Linked DNA regions of Stegostoma tigrinum. The protein of the gene in region 2 binds, or shares a complex with, the protein of the main gene of each other region. Links are inferred from orthologs where the notes say so. Each region holds a gene or a part of one and is shown on either strand. Other genes may lie near its edges.

The links.
Region 1: the proteins of gba1 (region 2) and scarb2c are in contact, whole or in part, in a cryo-EM structure (PDB 9FJF), measured with the Homo sapiens proteins. The link is inferred for Stegostoma tigrinum from reciprocal best matches to the Homo sapiens genes GBA1 and SCARB2. Residues at the interface, in NP_000148.2 of Homo sapiens: Leu130, Asn131, Ala134, Ile169, Glu190, Lys194, Leu195, Pro430, Arg434, Ile445, Thr446, Asp448; in NP_005497.1 of Homo sapiens: Lys161, Ala162, Tyr163, Gln164, Lys181, Glu183, Leu187, Phe191, Arg192.

Annotation. Positions count from the first base shown.
Region 1 is NC_081354.1:76,366,490-76,373,711, forward strand, and holds the start of scarb2c (lysosome membrane protein 2c), read right to left. Parts: upstream 3,203-7,222; 5' UTR 3,174-3,202; coding exon of another isoform or gene 3,077-3,173; coding exon 3,051-3,076; intron 2,355-3,050; exon of another isoform or gene 2,340-2,354; coding exon of another isoform or gene 2,329-2,339; intron 1-2,328.
Region 2 is NC_081400.1:102,712-110,963, forward strand, and holds the start of gba1 (lysosomal acid glucosylceramidase), read right to left. Parts: upstream 3,007-8,252; 5' UTR 2,890-3,006; exon of another isoform or gene 2,665-2,889; intron 2,538-2,664; exon of another isoform or gene 2,519-2,537; intron 2,513-2,518; exon of another isoform or gene 2,392-2,512; intron 2,141-2,391; 5' UTR 2,081-2,140; coding exon 2,020-2,080; intron 1-2,019. Other genes in the region: chtopa (chromatin target of PRMT1a), read left to right, coding at 3,035-3,092. UniProt on the Homo sapiens protein: Glucosylceramidase that catalyzes, within the lysosomal compartment, the hydrolysis of glucosylceramides/GlcCers (such as beta-D-glucosyl-(1<->1')-N-acylsphing-4-enine) into free ceramides (such as N-acylsphing-4-enine) and glucose.

The DNA.
Region 1 (7,222 bases), on a different chromosome or scaffold from region 2:
ATTGTAGTGGCACTACCGTTGACCCTGCACCAATTTGAGAAATGCAATCCCCAGAGCTCTGTAACTCCTTAGATGAAATCTTGCTATGCTATTGAGAAGAACCTAGCTGAGTTTGCTTATTTTTATGCTGTCATTAAAAAAACTCCTTTCTATACTAATTATTGTACTTGTCTAGGTAGTTTAAGCCTTTATTAAAAGATAAATCGGTCAAACATAAGTATTTCCAGTGAAACAGCTTAACTTGGGAGACTGAATAAAACCATAAGTCAACTTTAAAGCAGGCACCAAAGTTAATTACTTTCAGTTTGAGAAGTAAAAGCAATAATGAGTCACTTTTGCCATAAAGATTAACTTCAGTGAGGTTTGTGGAGTGTGGTGCAGTAATATGACACGATACAATAAATCAAATGACTTCTAGACATGTTTCTTCCAAGACATGTCCCTTCACCAGTGCTTCACAAGCCTAGATAACTACTGCAACTTCTTAAAAATTATTTTTTCCCACACATCTAAATGATATCAAACATGTGGTCACAGCATCACTGGTACAATAAGAAAAAATCTCATTTATAATAGAATTCATTGCACAGTTACAGCATGAAAGTAGAAGGCCAAAGAGCCTAACATTTTATGCTCCACACAAACATACTTCTGCTCCATTTGATTTAAAACCATCAACATATTTTTCCATTCCTTTCTCCCTCGAGTACTTAAGTCAGTAAAATGCAAAATGAATGCAAGTTTTCTGATATTGTTTAGCTTTAGAGTCCGTTTTAGACCACAAAACATAAGATTTGAGAAACACGTTTCTAGAATTTTGGGAATCTAGGAGCCTAATCTATAGACATTCAGAACCTGGTGACATTATCTCCGTGTGTGAATACATTGCATCTCTTCTTTCGTATATAACGAGTCTTCCTCTGATCCCCAATAACAAAACTATCCTGACTTATGTCCGGCAGATACCAACAGAGTTTGCAAGTCGCCTCCCATGTACCCTACATTTCAAGCCAAAGTGCCATCAAAAATTAATAAACCAAAAGAAATTATTCTAAACTTCACAATTCTAACATACCGCTGCCTGACAAATATCAAATTTTTTTTTCTGATTTTTTTTAAACTAACATAGCCTCAACAGTTTTATGGCAAGAAAATCAAGTTCCATTTTGGGACACCATCATCATCTCAAGGATAATTAAGAATGGGCAAAAAGAATGCTGATTTTGACTCAACTCAAACAAATATAAAAATTTCACTATGAAGTAGTAATTCCTGACATTGCACCTAGATGATGCAACCTAACCTTAAGTTATGGAATCTCCCATGGTACAATTTTTTGCCTTCGTCCCACTTGTTCCTTACATTGCTTTTATTGAAACGTCCCTTTTAACATCAAAATCCACCAGAGCATGAAATTAATTATTTAAAAATTAAAAACAAATGCAAGATGGTGACAAAGAAAATTTAACAGGATCTATATTACTTAAGATGACAAGTAGAGGATTTGGAATTAACATTAAGTGCAAGTAGGCAACGCACAGCAGCTCAGTGATTAGCACTGCAGCCTCACCACACCAGGGACCTAGGCTTGATTCCACCCTCAGTCAACTACAGTTCTAAGCTCTATGACTGTCTGTGTGGAGTCAGCACATTCTCTCAGTGTTTGCATGGGTTTCCTCCCACAGTCCAAACTTGCGCAAGCTAGGTTAATTTGCCATGTTAAATTGCCCATAGTGTCCAGGGATGTGCAAGCTACGTGGATAGGTCCAGATGGGAAGCTCTTTGTAAGGGTGGTGTGACTTGATGGGCCAAATGGCCTGCTTCCACATTGTACGGATTCTATGATGACCTATGATTAAATATCTATACAAAAATAGAGATGCTATTAGCAAAACTGCAATGCCTGACAATCAAAAATGTAAATATTAAGTTTAAGAGAGCCAAGTACTGAGATACTTAAAGGACATAGGTGTATGGAGTTAGACCACAGATCAGCTATGATCTCGTTGATTAGCAGAAGTCTCCTTGGGCTGAATGGCCTACTCCTGTTCCCATACTTACTAAAATCAGAGCGCTTTACGTAAAAAGCAGGAGAATGTTTTGCATGCGAGTACCTTCAAAAGGCAAATCGAAGTCTCAAGTCACAAGTCACAAAGTTATCCAGTTATTCTTTCCTAGGTTCTCTCTACTACATCCAATCAAAGGATTTTTTAACATCCTACTTTAAAACATGCCTACTATATAACTCAATTAGATGCTCGCACGCCACAATATCAAATCACATAAAACAGAAACAATTTCTGGAAAGGAATCAAAATTAATTCCGACTTTTTGTACATCCTCCCCCTTCATCTCTTTTCGTAGTTGCTTTCAGCTGCTCTCAAACACATTCTTTTCTTCTTATATTCTCCTCCTTCAGACTCTCCTAATCATTATTCCTCCTTCCACTTTTCGACCACGTTTTCTTATTAAAACGCTGCGCATTCGAGAAACATTTTCTGGCTCCGGAGTATGAACATGGACTGCTGTGGAAAAGCCATGTGTCATCCTTGACCATGACTCAACAGCCCAGTATGTCACAATTACACAAACCCTGCATATTACATTCACTCTCAATTGTACAAGCGACACATCAGTAGAATAAGAGGTAAAAGAATATTGAGGCACCTAACTAAATTATACTCTGTTTTTCAAAACGAAAGATCTACGGCATCAGGTCTTCGTCGCCAATTCCGCAAACACTTTCAATTCCAGACTTCTTGTACAACATGTTTAATTGGTAACAAACAACAGCAGTGTTTATATGACAGCTTTTATTTAAGCTTGGAGCAACGCCAATTAAAAGTATCCTTATATACAATGTTGAGTAGCTCATTGATGCAGCGGCCCCTGTTGTTAAATTCTACGCCTCAATATCAACCCAAAACAACTGCTGTTACACCACCGTGGACATCCAAAACATCAAACAGGCAAAAATGAGCTTGAGCAAAACGGACCTCCCCCAACTAGATGCAGCACAAATAACTTTAAATACAAATCCCAGGCCTTACCTTTTTAACGTACTTCTCGACAACATCAACGAAGACGTTAGTCACTAAGAGCGCAATGCTCGCTATTAAGAAAATAATGCAAAGAATGCCGATTGTGTAAGTGACTCCAGGCCGTACCCCCATTGTGGAGACTGAGAGGAGCAACAGAAACTCACGCAAGTGCCGCTGTCGCCAGCAGCAAATTGATTGACAAGCAGCTCAGAGCAATCCGCCCTGGCCCGTCCCGCGGCTGCGCCCTGCACAGACAAGGGACCACGCATGCGCGACCGCTTGTCCCGCGGGCAGGGCAAAGGTGCAGCTGCAGCAGTGAAGAAGTGCTTCGGACAGCAGCAGACGCTGGTTCACATTCTTAGCCACCGGCAGCAGAAGCTCCTGTCAGAAATGCGTCGACTAATAGGCGGTGCATTTGCAGCATTTTCTGTTTTCACTTCAGATCTGTATCATTCGCGCTGTTTTCTTTAAAATTCTGATTCGAAGACGTCAAGGCTCTGTATTTCAGTACTTGCTTACGAAGAGGTAGATGCAGACGGGTCTCGGCATTGCAAATCCTGCGGGATTGACACGAAGTCTGCCGGAATTAAAAATTCATCGTCAGGACCTCGTTTGCGGGGCAGTGGCCTCGTGGTATTATCCCTGGACTGTTAATCTGGGGACCTGTGTTCGAATCCTGCCAAGGCAGATGGTGGAATTTGAGTGTCTGGTTTGAATGAGGCTGACGCCGAATAGGCAGTAAATGCTGCCTGCACTCTCACCCCTGGTATGAATATAGGGGGGAAAACCCGAAATATGTTGTTCAGGAACATCTTTTTCATTCTCCTTGTGTAGTTCCAATTGGAGGTTGGTTATACAGATATTGGGGATTGCATATGGGATGATTTTAATTTGGCCCCTCACCAATCCAGCAGGGCTGGAGGAGAGGATGAGGAACCCCAGCACCTGGGCTCATCAAGACGACTGAATAGAGGGTGCTGCATCCCGGACAACATGTCTTGGACCTGTCTGAGATTCACTGGCAGAAGGGGTTGCCCTTCAGATGGATCACCATGATTTCTTACAATAGGAATTGTCGTCACTGAGATCAGTAAGGGTGAATATGCCCTACCAATGGTCCTCAAAGTTACACCTACCCTGAATTTTATTTTCTGGCTACTTTCAATTAGCTACAAGGTCTACTAATGTGCCAGTTTTCAGTCCACAGCTGTAGTAGGCAGATAACTAGCGTCCTGTTTGCCAGAAAAGTACGTCATGGTCTCCATTAGCTTCAACATTCAACAGAAAAGAGTACATTGTTCTGGAGCCATGGCTGACTTACATGCAGGACATGATTGACAGTGTGATATTGGTGGCCATTGAGCACCAAAATAAAAGCTCATTCAAGCAATAAATTTCAATCTCTGCATTGTCAATGTTAGCAGTTTGCTCTGCACAATTTCCCCCAGATTGTGTGTTATACATCGACATGATCTGCAGCATATTGCTCCACACTGCCTTGAAGGAAGACCTCCCTTTGGCAGAGGAAGTAAGCAGCAGCAGCAACAGGAACCATCATCAAATGATGAAAACCTTTGAGAAAGATGCAATCACATTGGGAAACAGGCACTCTGAAAAATCAGCATTTTGTAGCACCAGATGTAAAAGGTCAGCACATTCAACATTGAGTCAAAGTGGCTCGGTGGTTAGCACTGCTGCTTCACAGTGCTAGGGACCCAGGTTTGACTCCTCCATCGGGTGAATCTCTGTGTGGAGTTTGCACAATCTCCCTGTGTCTGTGTGGGTTTCCTCCAGGTGCTCCGGTTTCCTCCACAGTCCAAAGATGTGCGGGCTAGGTGGATTGGCCATGCTAAATTGCCCATAGAGTTCGGGGATGTGTAGATTAGGGGATGGATCTGAGTGGGATGGTCAGTGTGGACTTGTTGGGCCAAAGGGCCTGTTTCCACACTGTAGGGATTCTGTGATCTAGTCTGTGGATCCCCTGGGATTCTTTATATCCCGACCTGAGAACGTAGACAGACCCCTTCTGCATAACAACCCTTGTTAAATTCCTCATTCTGCCTTGAACATTGAAAACATTCTGACAATGTTGACTCAGATGTAACTGTGAAACTATTTTGAAGGCTAAGGTGGCTGATTATGATCAAGTTGATTAATGTCAAAAATAATAAATACGTTTTATTTCTGTCTTACCCAGATGTAGTGTTTCTCTTTCGAGAATGTTTTCTAACTCCTGTGACGTTCTCTTCAGTGAGCAGAGCAAGCTGGCATGTGCTCGAATCGTTGTGATGCTCCTAAGTGCTCGAGCCCATGAGGATCCAATTTCTAGTTGTTCCAGCTCAGTAGCTCATGTGTTGGCCCTGTGACAAGTATTAGTTGCTCAGGTTTGCTGTAATTCTGAAAGAAAGGATGCATCCTGCTTCCGTCACGCCACTACCTTCCCTCAGATTTGGGTCTCTTCAGTTCCATTGATCTATGGAAAAGAAGAAAGCAAAGGATAATTGAGCCCAGCAAAGCTGTTATCCATTTGATTGAGCAATCACTCAATTATACATTCTGACCTCTGGACGGCAGCTATTTTAAGCTTAAACCAAAGCTGCAGAGAATGTTAGCATGACGTCCTATAGACTGAGGGCCTGGCTTCTGTTTATCTGAAGCTAATCATAATTTTCAGGGTGGAGTGCAGAGTGTGAGATAACATCACTGAGGCTGGATAGGGATTCCTTACCTCAGGTTTCATTGTGAAACTACTGAGCATAACTCCTCATACCTCATCCAGTTGTTTGTCTGAAGTCCACAGTTATCAAGCCCTTAAATTCTTTATCTCTCTCATCTTGGTCAGAAGGAGCACTGCCTCATCACTTTGCCACCAGAAAGGTCAGGGATTAGCTCATAGCTCAGTGATTTCACTCGGCCTCTTGCAACTTTGCCCTGAGAGCTGTGACAGAGTATGCCAGCGTGATCTCTCCTGGTCGGCTCTTGCCAGCAGTCATTACTGTTGTCCACTGTATTTTGCTAGGTGCCGACTCCTCCAGCTCATTAACTGTCCCATATAGACTGTCAGTGTTTGAACTGGTGTTTGGGAAGGATGGAGCTCCTTCTCAAAGAGAGTTTTGATGCCTTGCAGGATCCTTCAGGAAAGAAGAGGGAAAGTGAGCATTTTCAGGTGTCAATCTGACCTCCAGTCAGAAAATCATCCTTCCGTAAATACCCTCTGTCTCCTGTGACCAAGTCAATTTTGTATCCAATTTGCTAACTTATCATGGATCCCATGCAATGTAATCTTCTGTACCGTCCGACTATTGTCAAATACTGTAGTAAAGTCAACTTGGACAACATTTACTGCCCTACCCTCATCAATCGTCTTTGTCACTTCCTCAAAAACCTCAGATTTGTGAGGTAAGACCTCCCCTGCAAAAAGCCATATTGACTATCCTGACGAAATCCATTCTTCTCCAAATGTGAGTAAATCCTCTTCCTAAGAATCTTCTGCAATAATTTCCCTATCACTGATGAAAGATTCACAAGCCTATAATTTCCCAGATTATCCCTGTTGCCCTTCTCAAAGAAGTGAACAACTTTGTCTAATCTCCAGTCTTCTGACACCTCACCTGCAACTAAAGAGGATGCAAAGATCTCTATCAAGGTCGCAGCAGTCTGTTCCCTTGTCTCCTTCTGTATCCTGGAATAGATTCCATTAGGCCTTGGGGATTTATCTATCTTAATGTTTTTCAAGATACCCAACACGTCGTCCTCCTTAATATTGACACACCCCAGAATATCAACAAACCCCTCTTCTAATCTCACCATTGTCTATGTCCTTCTCCTTAGTGAATACCGATGCGTAGTTATCCCACTTCCTCTGGCTCCATACATAAATTCCCATCTTTGTCCTTAAGTGGACTTATCTTTTCCCTAATTCTCCTCTTGCTCTTAAGATTCTTATGAAATGCCTCGCAACTCTCCTTAATCCTACTTGCGAAGGACATTTTGTGGCACCTTCTAGCCATCCTAATTCCTTTTTTAAGTTTTTTCCTGCTTCCTTAATATTCCTCAAGGACCTTGTTTCATTTCAGTTTCCTAAACCTTACATATGTTTCCTTTTTCTTTTTTACTAAACATTTGATATTTCTTGTTATCCAGGGCTCCTGAATCTTGCAGCCCATATCGTTTATCTTCAC
Region 2 (8,252 bases):
GAGGAGCAGGATGGCTGACGTTTCGGGCCAAGACCCTTCCTGCTCCTCTGATGCTGTTTAGCCTGCTGTGTTCGTCGAGCTCTATACCTTGTTATCTCAGATTCTCCAGCATCTGCAGTTCCTGCTATCTCCAGAACAATACTCTGACCCATTTTCATCCCTTCTTACACTTTGAAGGTGCTAACTTTCACTGAGGTAATGTTCCAGGCACTGGTGACACTTTGGTACATGATTCAAATAGTAATTTATCAGATGAGATTTAACAGATTTTACAATTATAATTGACAACGGGTATATTTCAAAACCTCACTTAGAGCCTTGGGTTGAAACTTGTAGAAAACAGGAAAATGTGACAGTGATCCAATAGGGAGTATCCTTGAAAAAAAATGAACTACAAACAGGAGTAGACCAACAAGCCCAATCCACTATTCACGCAGATGCAAGTGACTTGGACAGGCTAGGTGAGTGGACGGATGCATGGGAGATGCACTTTAATGTGGATAAATGTGTGGCTATACACTTTGGTGGCAAGAACAGGAAGGCAGATTACTATCTCAATGGAGTCAAGTTAGGTAAAGGGGAAACACGAGATCTAGGTGTTCTTGTACATCAGTCAATGAAAGCAAGCAAGCAGGTACAGCAGGCAGTGAAGAAAGCTAATAGCATGCTGGCCTTCATAACAAGAGGAATTGAGTACAGGGGCAAAGAGGTCCTTCGGCAGCTGTACAGGGCCCTGGTGAGACCACACCTGGAGCATTGTGTGCAGTTTCGGTCTCCAAATTTGAGGAAGGACAGTCTTGCTATTTGAGGGAGTGCAGCGTAGGTTCACGAGGCCAATTCCCGGAATGGTGGGACTATCATACGTTGAAAGATTGGAGTGACTGGCCTCGTATACTCTTGAGTTTAGAAGGATGAGAGGGGATCTGTTTGAGGTGTATAAGATTATTAAGGGATTGGACACTCTGGAGGCAGGAAGCATGTTTCCGCTGATGGGTGAGTCCAGAACCAGAGGACACAGTTTAAAAATAAGGGGTAGGCCATTTAGAACAGAGTTGAGGAAAAACTTCTTCACCCAGAGAGTGGTGGATATATGGAATGCTCTGCCCCAGAAGGCAGTGGAGGCCAACTCTCTGGATACTTTCAAGAAAGAGATGGATAGAGCTCTTAAAGATAGTGGAATCAAGGATTATGGGGATAAGGCAGGAACAGGATATTGATTGTGGATGATCATCCACGATCATAGGGCAGAATGGCCTACTCCTGCACCTATTACCTATTGTCTGATCTGATTACTCCACATTCCCACCAATCATGATAAATTTTCACATTTGCTCGACAGGAATCTATTGACATCTGCCTCAAAAATATTCAACACCTTTTGAGGGAGAACTTTAATAACTCTCAATACTCTGAGAAAAAAAAATTGTCTCTTCTCCCATCGTCCTAGATTCTTTGGAATAGGAAACATCCTCTCCACAAACACCCTTTCAAGACTCCTCAGCATCTCCCAATGATGTCTGATCTCCTGGATGAAAAGCTATCCCATATGGTTTATCTGACTGCTAGGAACAGGTTCAGGCGTGTGCAGACTGGGAAATGAGCACAAGATCATGTAACGTGCAGGATCTGCCAGCCCAGAGCAGAAGATATAATGACAATTTCTGAAAATCTGTTCATATAGGTTATGGCCATTTTCAGGTCCTGTACTGCTGAGAAATTCTGCATTCCTATTAGATCAGGTCAGATGCAACAAGTCCACAGGTTTCAATCCTCAGTATTTAATGCAATTTTTGATGCCAAGATGGATTTGGCATTGTGAACTAACATCCCAGTGAAACTAACCCTAACCCAAAGTGAGTTGGACCTACACCAGTCTACAGGAGCAGCTGAGCAGGCTAGTTTAAAAGAAACAACCTGTTTCTTGCAGACTGTTTCCAATCTGGTTGCTGAACAAGACTCAGTGCCTGCACTAATCTGTGAAACATAACTCTCAGCTCCACTTACATTACAATTCCTCACCTGAGACTGGAAGGATTGTCCAGAAAGGCAGAAAACACAAACAGAACCAAACTGTGGACATCCTGGAGGAGGAAACTGCTCCAGTTTCTCCTTGTTAGTTTCTTCAATACCTTGCTGTATCCTAATTGAACAAAAAGATACAGGGAAAAATGTTAAATATATAATCCAAATCCAGGTCTTTGATTATGTTTAATACAGAGATAGCTGGACTCTTGTTAGTAATGGGAACAAGGGTTATGATGAAAGGGCAGGAGAATAGGGTTGAGTTACATATCAGCCATGATTGAATGGTGGAGCAGACTCGACGGATGTCTTAACGGTGTAAAACTACTGTTATGGTTTTACAGTGTACAGCCAGGCATAAGGAACTACCAGGAGTAAGACTGGGCAATGTTTAGATTGACTATCCTTCATTCCTGAGTGGACTGGTAGCATTTGTTGTAAATATCACCAGGTTATTGCCCTAAAGCGTGATCTAAAAGCTTTCAGAGTGCAGTGCCTGAGCCAGTGGTGTTCTGTCAGAAGTGGCAGACTGAGGCGGCGCAGCGTAGTCAGAGGATCAGTACTGAGCAATGGGCGCCCTCAGCGCTGACCCCTCCCCTCCCCTCCCCTCCCCGACAGCGCCCGCTCCCTCGGCGCTGACCCCCCGCCGACAGCGCCCGCTCCCTCGGCGCTGTGTCTAACATTAGAACCAGTAGGAACTGCCGATGCTGGAGAATCCGAGGTAACAAGGTGTAGAGCTGGATGAACACAACAGGCCAAGCAGCATCAGAGGAGCAGGAAGGCTGACGTTTCGGGCCGAGACATCAGCTTGCCTGCTGTGTTCATCCAGCTTCCCACCGCCTCTAACATAATCGGAGCGAGACGAACCCTTCATCAGCGAGAGCCAGCCCGCCATCCCACGTGACCAAACACGGCATCACGTCCCCCACGTGACCGAGTCTGTTCGCCGCCGCTGCCTCCCACGTGATCCCCCCTCTTGCCCAGGACTGGCACTGATTTCTGTCTTGGCCGCATGGATTCTGCTGTTCAGCTCCGCCAGCGGCAGTATGGCTCGGCTCTGCCAGTACCAGGTAAGGGGCTAAGGCCGCCTGCTGTAACTCATCTCTCCTGTGGGTCTTTCGTCCCTGGCTGACGATGCTCAGGGTGCTTCGGCCTGTAGCGGTGGACTCCGCCTGGTGAAAGCCGCCCTCAATTCCAGGCCCGTATCGAGGGTTCGGGGGATGGGGGTGGACTTGCTGGCTGGGCCTGTGTTTATTGGCCTCTCTAACTGCTCCTTGCGGAAGTGCGCTAGATGTTGTCTGTTGTAATATCGGCACTCTGACAGGAAGCACCGAGGAGCTGATCGTGTTAAATAGTGCAAGGCTGCAGGAAGATAAAACACAGGGCTGAGTGCAGGGAATCCTTGTGAATGAATCTCAAAAAAATTTAACTTAGAACATTGGAGGATGGCAATTTAAGTCTAGCGAGACCCCTCCACCGTTCAATACAGTCATGGTTGAATTTCTCCTTTGCTTCATAACGCATTATCCTATTACTTATTCTGAGTAATACAGTTCTGAGGAAGGGTCCCCGGAACCGAAACATTAACAGCTTATTTTTTCTCTCCACGGATTGTGCCAGACCTGCTGAGCTTTTCCGGCAACTTCTGTTTTTGTTCCTGATTCGCAGCATCTGCAGTTCTTTCGGTTTCCAGTTAAAAATCTTTCTGCCTTCTCCTTAAAGTACTCAGTGACCTGGCATCCGATGCACTCCCCGTGACCGAATTCCATAGATCCGCCACCTCAAAAACAAATGAATAACCGTTGTAGGCGCAGCATAGATCTATTTGTGTGCTAAACACCATGTTAATACAGGTCTTAAAAACTGAAGAACTGTGGATGTTGTAAATCAGAAACAAAACCAGAAATTACAGGAAAACCTCAGCAGGTCTGGCAGCATCTGTAGAGTGAAATCAGAGTTAACGCTTCCGGCTCAGTGACTCTTTTTCAAAACATTTTTCAAAACTTATCTAAGCAATTGAGGCCATCCAGAGAAGTTCACTAGACTGATGTGAGGTCTGAAGCACTTTGTTATGAGAAGAAGTTGAGTAGACTAGCCCCAATGTGACCTTATTAGGATAGATGTGGAAAGGTTGTCTCCTCTTGACCAAATGTGTGATCCCTTATTCTGAGATCATACCATTTAAGAGAGAAATGAAGGGGAATTTCTTGAGAATTGTGAATCTGTGGAATTCCTCCCCACAAAGGCTATTGAGGCTGGATCATTAAGCATATTTGAGATTGAGGTTGACAGATTTTTAATTGGTAAGGGAATAGAGAGTTTGTGGGTGAAGAAAGCAGAAAAGTGGAGTTGTGGATTAACAGATCAGCCGTGATTTCATTGAATGGTAGAACAGAACTCTGGACTGAATGACCTACTTGTCTTCTAGTCTTACCTAACTCTCATATCACCTTATGAGTTAAGGGCGAACAGATTTCTTGAATTGCTGTAGGTAGGCTTTCAATGTGGTTAAGGATTTTGACCCAGTATCACTGAAGGAATGGGAATATATTTCCATATCAGCATGGTGGGTGAACTTGCTCGTGGTGCTCCCATGTGTCTGCTGCCCTTGTCATTCCACATGGAAGCAGTTGTGGGTTTGAAACCAGTTATGTTATACGAGGATCATATCTGTTATTTGTAATATTTGTAAATGATCTGGGTGGACATGTAGGTGGTCTGATTGCTAAGCTTGTAGACAACATGAAAATTAGTTGAGTTGTGAAAAGTAAGGAACGTTGTCAAACGATACAGCATTTCTGAAGAAGGTTCTCAGCCCAAAAGTCAGCATTCCTGCTCCTCTGCTGCTTGGCCTGCTGTGTTCATCCAGCTCTATACCTTGTTATCACAGCACAATATAGGTCAGTTGAAAAGTTGAGTGGAGTGATGGCAGATGGATTTGAACCTGGTCAAATGAATTGATACATTCTGAGAGGTCAAATGCAAGACGACAGTATACAGTAAATGGCAAGATCCTTGGGAGCATTGATATACAGAGGGATCTTGGGGTGCAAATCCATAACTCCCTGAAAGGGGCAACACAAGGGCCTCAGTAAGATAACAAGGTGTAGAGCTGGATGAACACAGCAGGCCGAGCAGGAAGGCTGATGTTTTGGGCCCGAAACGTCAGCCTTCCTGCTCCTCTGATTCTGCTTGGCCTGCTGTGTTCATCCAGCTCTACACCTTGTTATCACAGATTCTTCAGCATCTGCAGTTCCTATTATCTCTGCCTCAGTAAGAGTATGGCATGCTCCAGAAGATTATGGGCCAAATGCAGGCAAATGGGGCTACTTTAGTTTAGGATACCTGGTCAGCGTGGATGAGATGGACCGAAGAGTCTGTTTCTGTTCTGTATGACTATGCTTTCTAAGGATCTTTGGTGATTTACTTTAGTGCATCAATGCACTACTGAGTATTGGGGGGTGGAGGCAATGATTGTTTCTGGCTGTGGTGCCAATTAAGCAGGCTGCTTTGCCCTGGATGATGTCAGTTTCTTGAGTGTTACCTTTATCCAGGCAAATGACAAGTGTTCCACCACACTCCTGACTTGTGCCTTATAAATGGTGGACTGGTTTTAGGAAGATGGGAAGTGAGTTCCTCACGTAATGTTCAGTGATGATGTGCCATTGAATGTCAAGTATTAGTTGCTAGATTGGCTTGTTGGAAAAGCTCTGAACTTGGTGTAATCATCAGTGAACATCCCTACTTCCGACCTTTTGATGGCAGGAAGTCACTGAAGCAGCTGAAGGCAGTTGAGGCCTCCGCAGCATTTTTGGTAGGAGAGGAAATTGAGTGCTAAGGATGCAGCAGATTTGGGACCAAGAGTTAGAGAGGAGAATTGAGTGAGAAAAGATAAAGAAGGAAGATTTGTAGGACCAAAGAGAGCATGGTGGCAGGAGAGAAATGTTTGGGGTAGAAGATCTGGGAGCCACAAATGAGGGACGGAGAACAGAGATTGGGTTCAATGGCAGGAGATTTGGCATCCTAGGGTGGGAGGTCCAGGGTGGGCTAAGAAGGGATGTTTGGGTGCCAGTGGAGAAGAAAAGGGATATTTGGAAATTGGGTGGGAAGGATGGGGAGCTCAAGGAGCTCAGATGAGTAGGATTATGGAAAGAGAGATGAGGCGTTTTTAGTGAAGATGTTTTGTCAAGATCAGGACCTTTACTGAGACGAATGATTTATTGCTCATGCTTGGAGTTTTACTGAAGGGAGGTAATTTATTTTGAGATGTGGACAGGGAGCTTTACTTGGGGAAAGGGAGAGCGAGTAAGGTTTATCACTGAGAAATGTGGGGTGGTTTATACTCGATATTAACAGAACTAGGCCATTTACCTCTCCTTCACCATTCAATAAAATCATTTGGTCGCAGCTCCACTTTGTCTGCTTGACATAACCCGTAAAATCACTGTTGAATAAAACTCAGCTTTTGAATAAATTTAAAGACCCAAACTCCACTATCTTTTGGGAAGAGAATTCAACTCTGTTAACCCGTAAAGGTAAAGAAACTTTGCATCAGTCTTCAATAAGAGACCTGTTATTAAACTGTCATCACCCGGTACTCGTTTCTTCACCAGAAGAAACATACTATCGGTCTTCACTATAACTTCCTACAATTTTATTGGAATGTAAAATCTTGGTTCTCGTCTTTCTAAAATCCAATGGTTATCAGCCTGACCTGTGAGTGTTCCTTCACAGAATAAGCCCTTCATTCCTCAGGAATGAGTTGTGACCTTTTTCTGAACTGTTTTTAAAGCAATTGTATCCTTTACCAAAACAGGAGGTCTAAACCATAGAAGCTTTGTTTTTGAAAGGGATCATTCAATCCATTATGTCTCTGGCAACCAAGGCAAAAATAACTGGCCATCTGTCTTAGAACATATGCTGTAGGAGCAGAATTGGGCCCTTCACCTATCAAAGCTGCTCCACCGTTTGGTCATGACTAATGCGTTTCTCAACTCCATTCTGCCTGTAACCCTTAATGCCCCTACAAATCATCAACCTGTCTATTTCTGTCTAAAACACACACAAGGACTCACTGCCACAGAAGGCTGTAGAGGCAGAGTTCCACAGACTAGCCATCCTCTGGCTTAAGACATTCCACTCATCTCAGTTCTAAAGGGTCATCCTTTCAGTCTGTGGCTGTTCCTTTGGGTCCCAGTTTCTCAAATAATAGAAGTATCTTCTCACTGACCAGACTGTCTCGGTATCTCAGTAATCTGTACATTTCAAATGAGATTCCCCCTCATCTTTCTGAACTGAGTATAGACCCAGAGTCCTCACCACTTCTATGATAAACCATCATCCCCATGATCACTCTCGTTAACCACCTTTCCAACACCAGCGCTTCCTTTCTTCAGTAAGGGGCCCAAAACTGTTCATGATATTCCAAATGCAGTCTGACAAGACATAGGCCTCAGTAGTACATAGTACAGTGCATGACAGGAATGGGCCCTTGGGCCTATGATGTTGTGCTGTACATGATGCCACATTAAACAAATCTTTTCTGCCTGCCCTTGGTCTGATCCCTGCATTCCTTGCCTATTCGTGTGCTTATCTGAAGTGCCTTAAATACCCCTATCATATCTGCCTCGTCCACTACTCCTGGCAGCATGTTCCAGCCTCCTGTCACCCTCTGTGTTAAACACTTGCCCCTCACATCTCCTTTGAACCCACCTTGTCTCACCTTGAATGAATGCCCCCTAGTATTAGACATTTCAGTTCTTGAGGAAAAGGATTTTGACCCTCAACCATATCTTTTCATCTCATAATTTTACAGACTTACATCAGTTTGCGCTAATCCAGAGAAAACAGCCCGGGTTTTTCTTGCCTCTCCTTTATAGCTCATAACATCTAATCTAGGTAGCATCCTAGTAAACCTCTTCTGTACCTTCTCCAAAGCCTCCACATCCTTCTTGGCAACCAGAATTTAATCCAATACTCCAAGCATGGCCTAACTCAAGTCTTATAAAGCTGCAATATGACATCCTGTTTCCCCAATCTCAGTTCCCCAGTCAATAAACGCCAGTATGCCATACACATTTACCACCGTTTCTGCTTGCATGGTGACTTAAAGGGAGCTATGGACTTGAACCCTAAGATTTCTCTGTACATCAGTGCTGTTCAGGGTCCTGCCATTAACTGTATACTTTGCCTTAACATTTGATCTCCCAAACTGCAGCATCTCACACTGA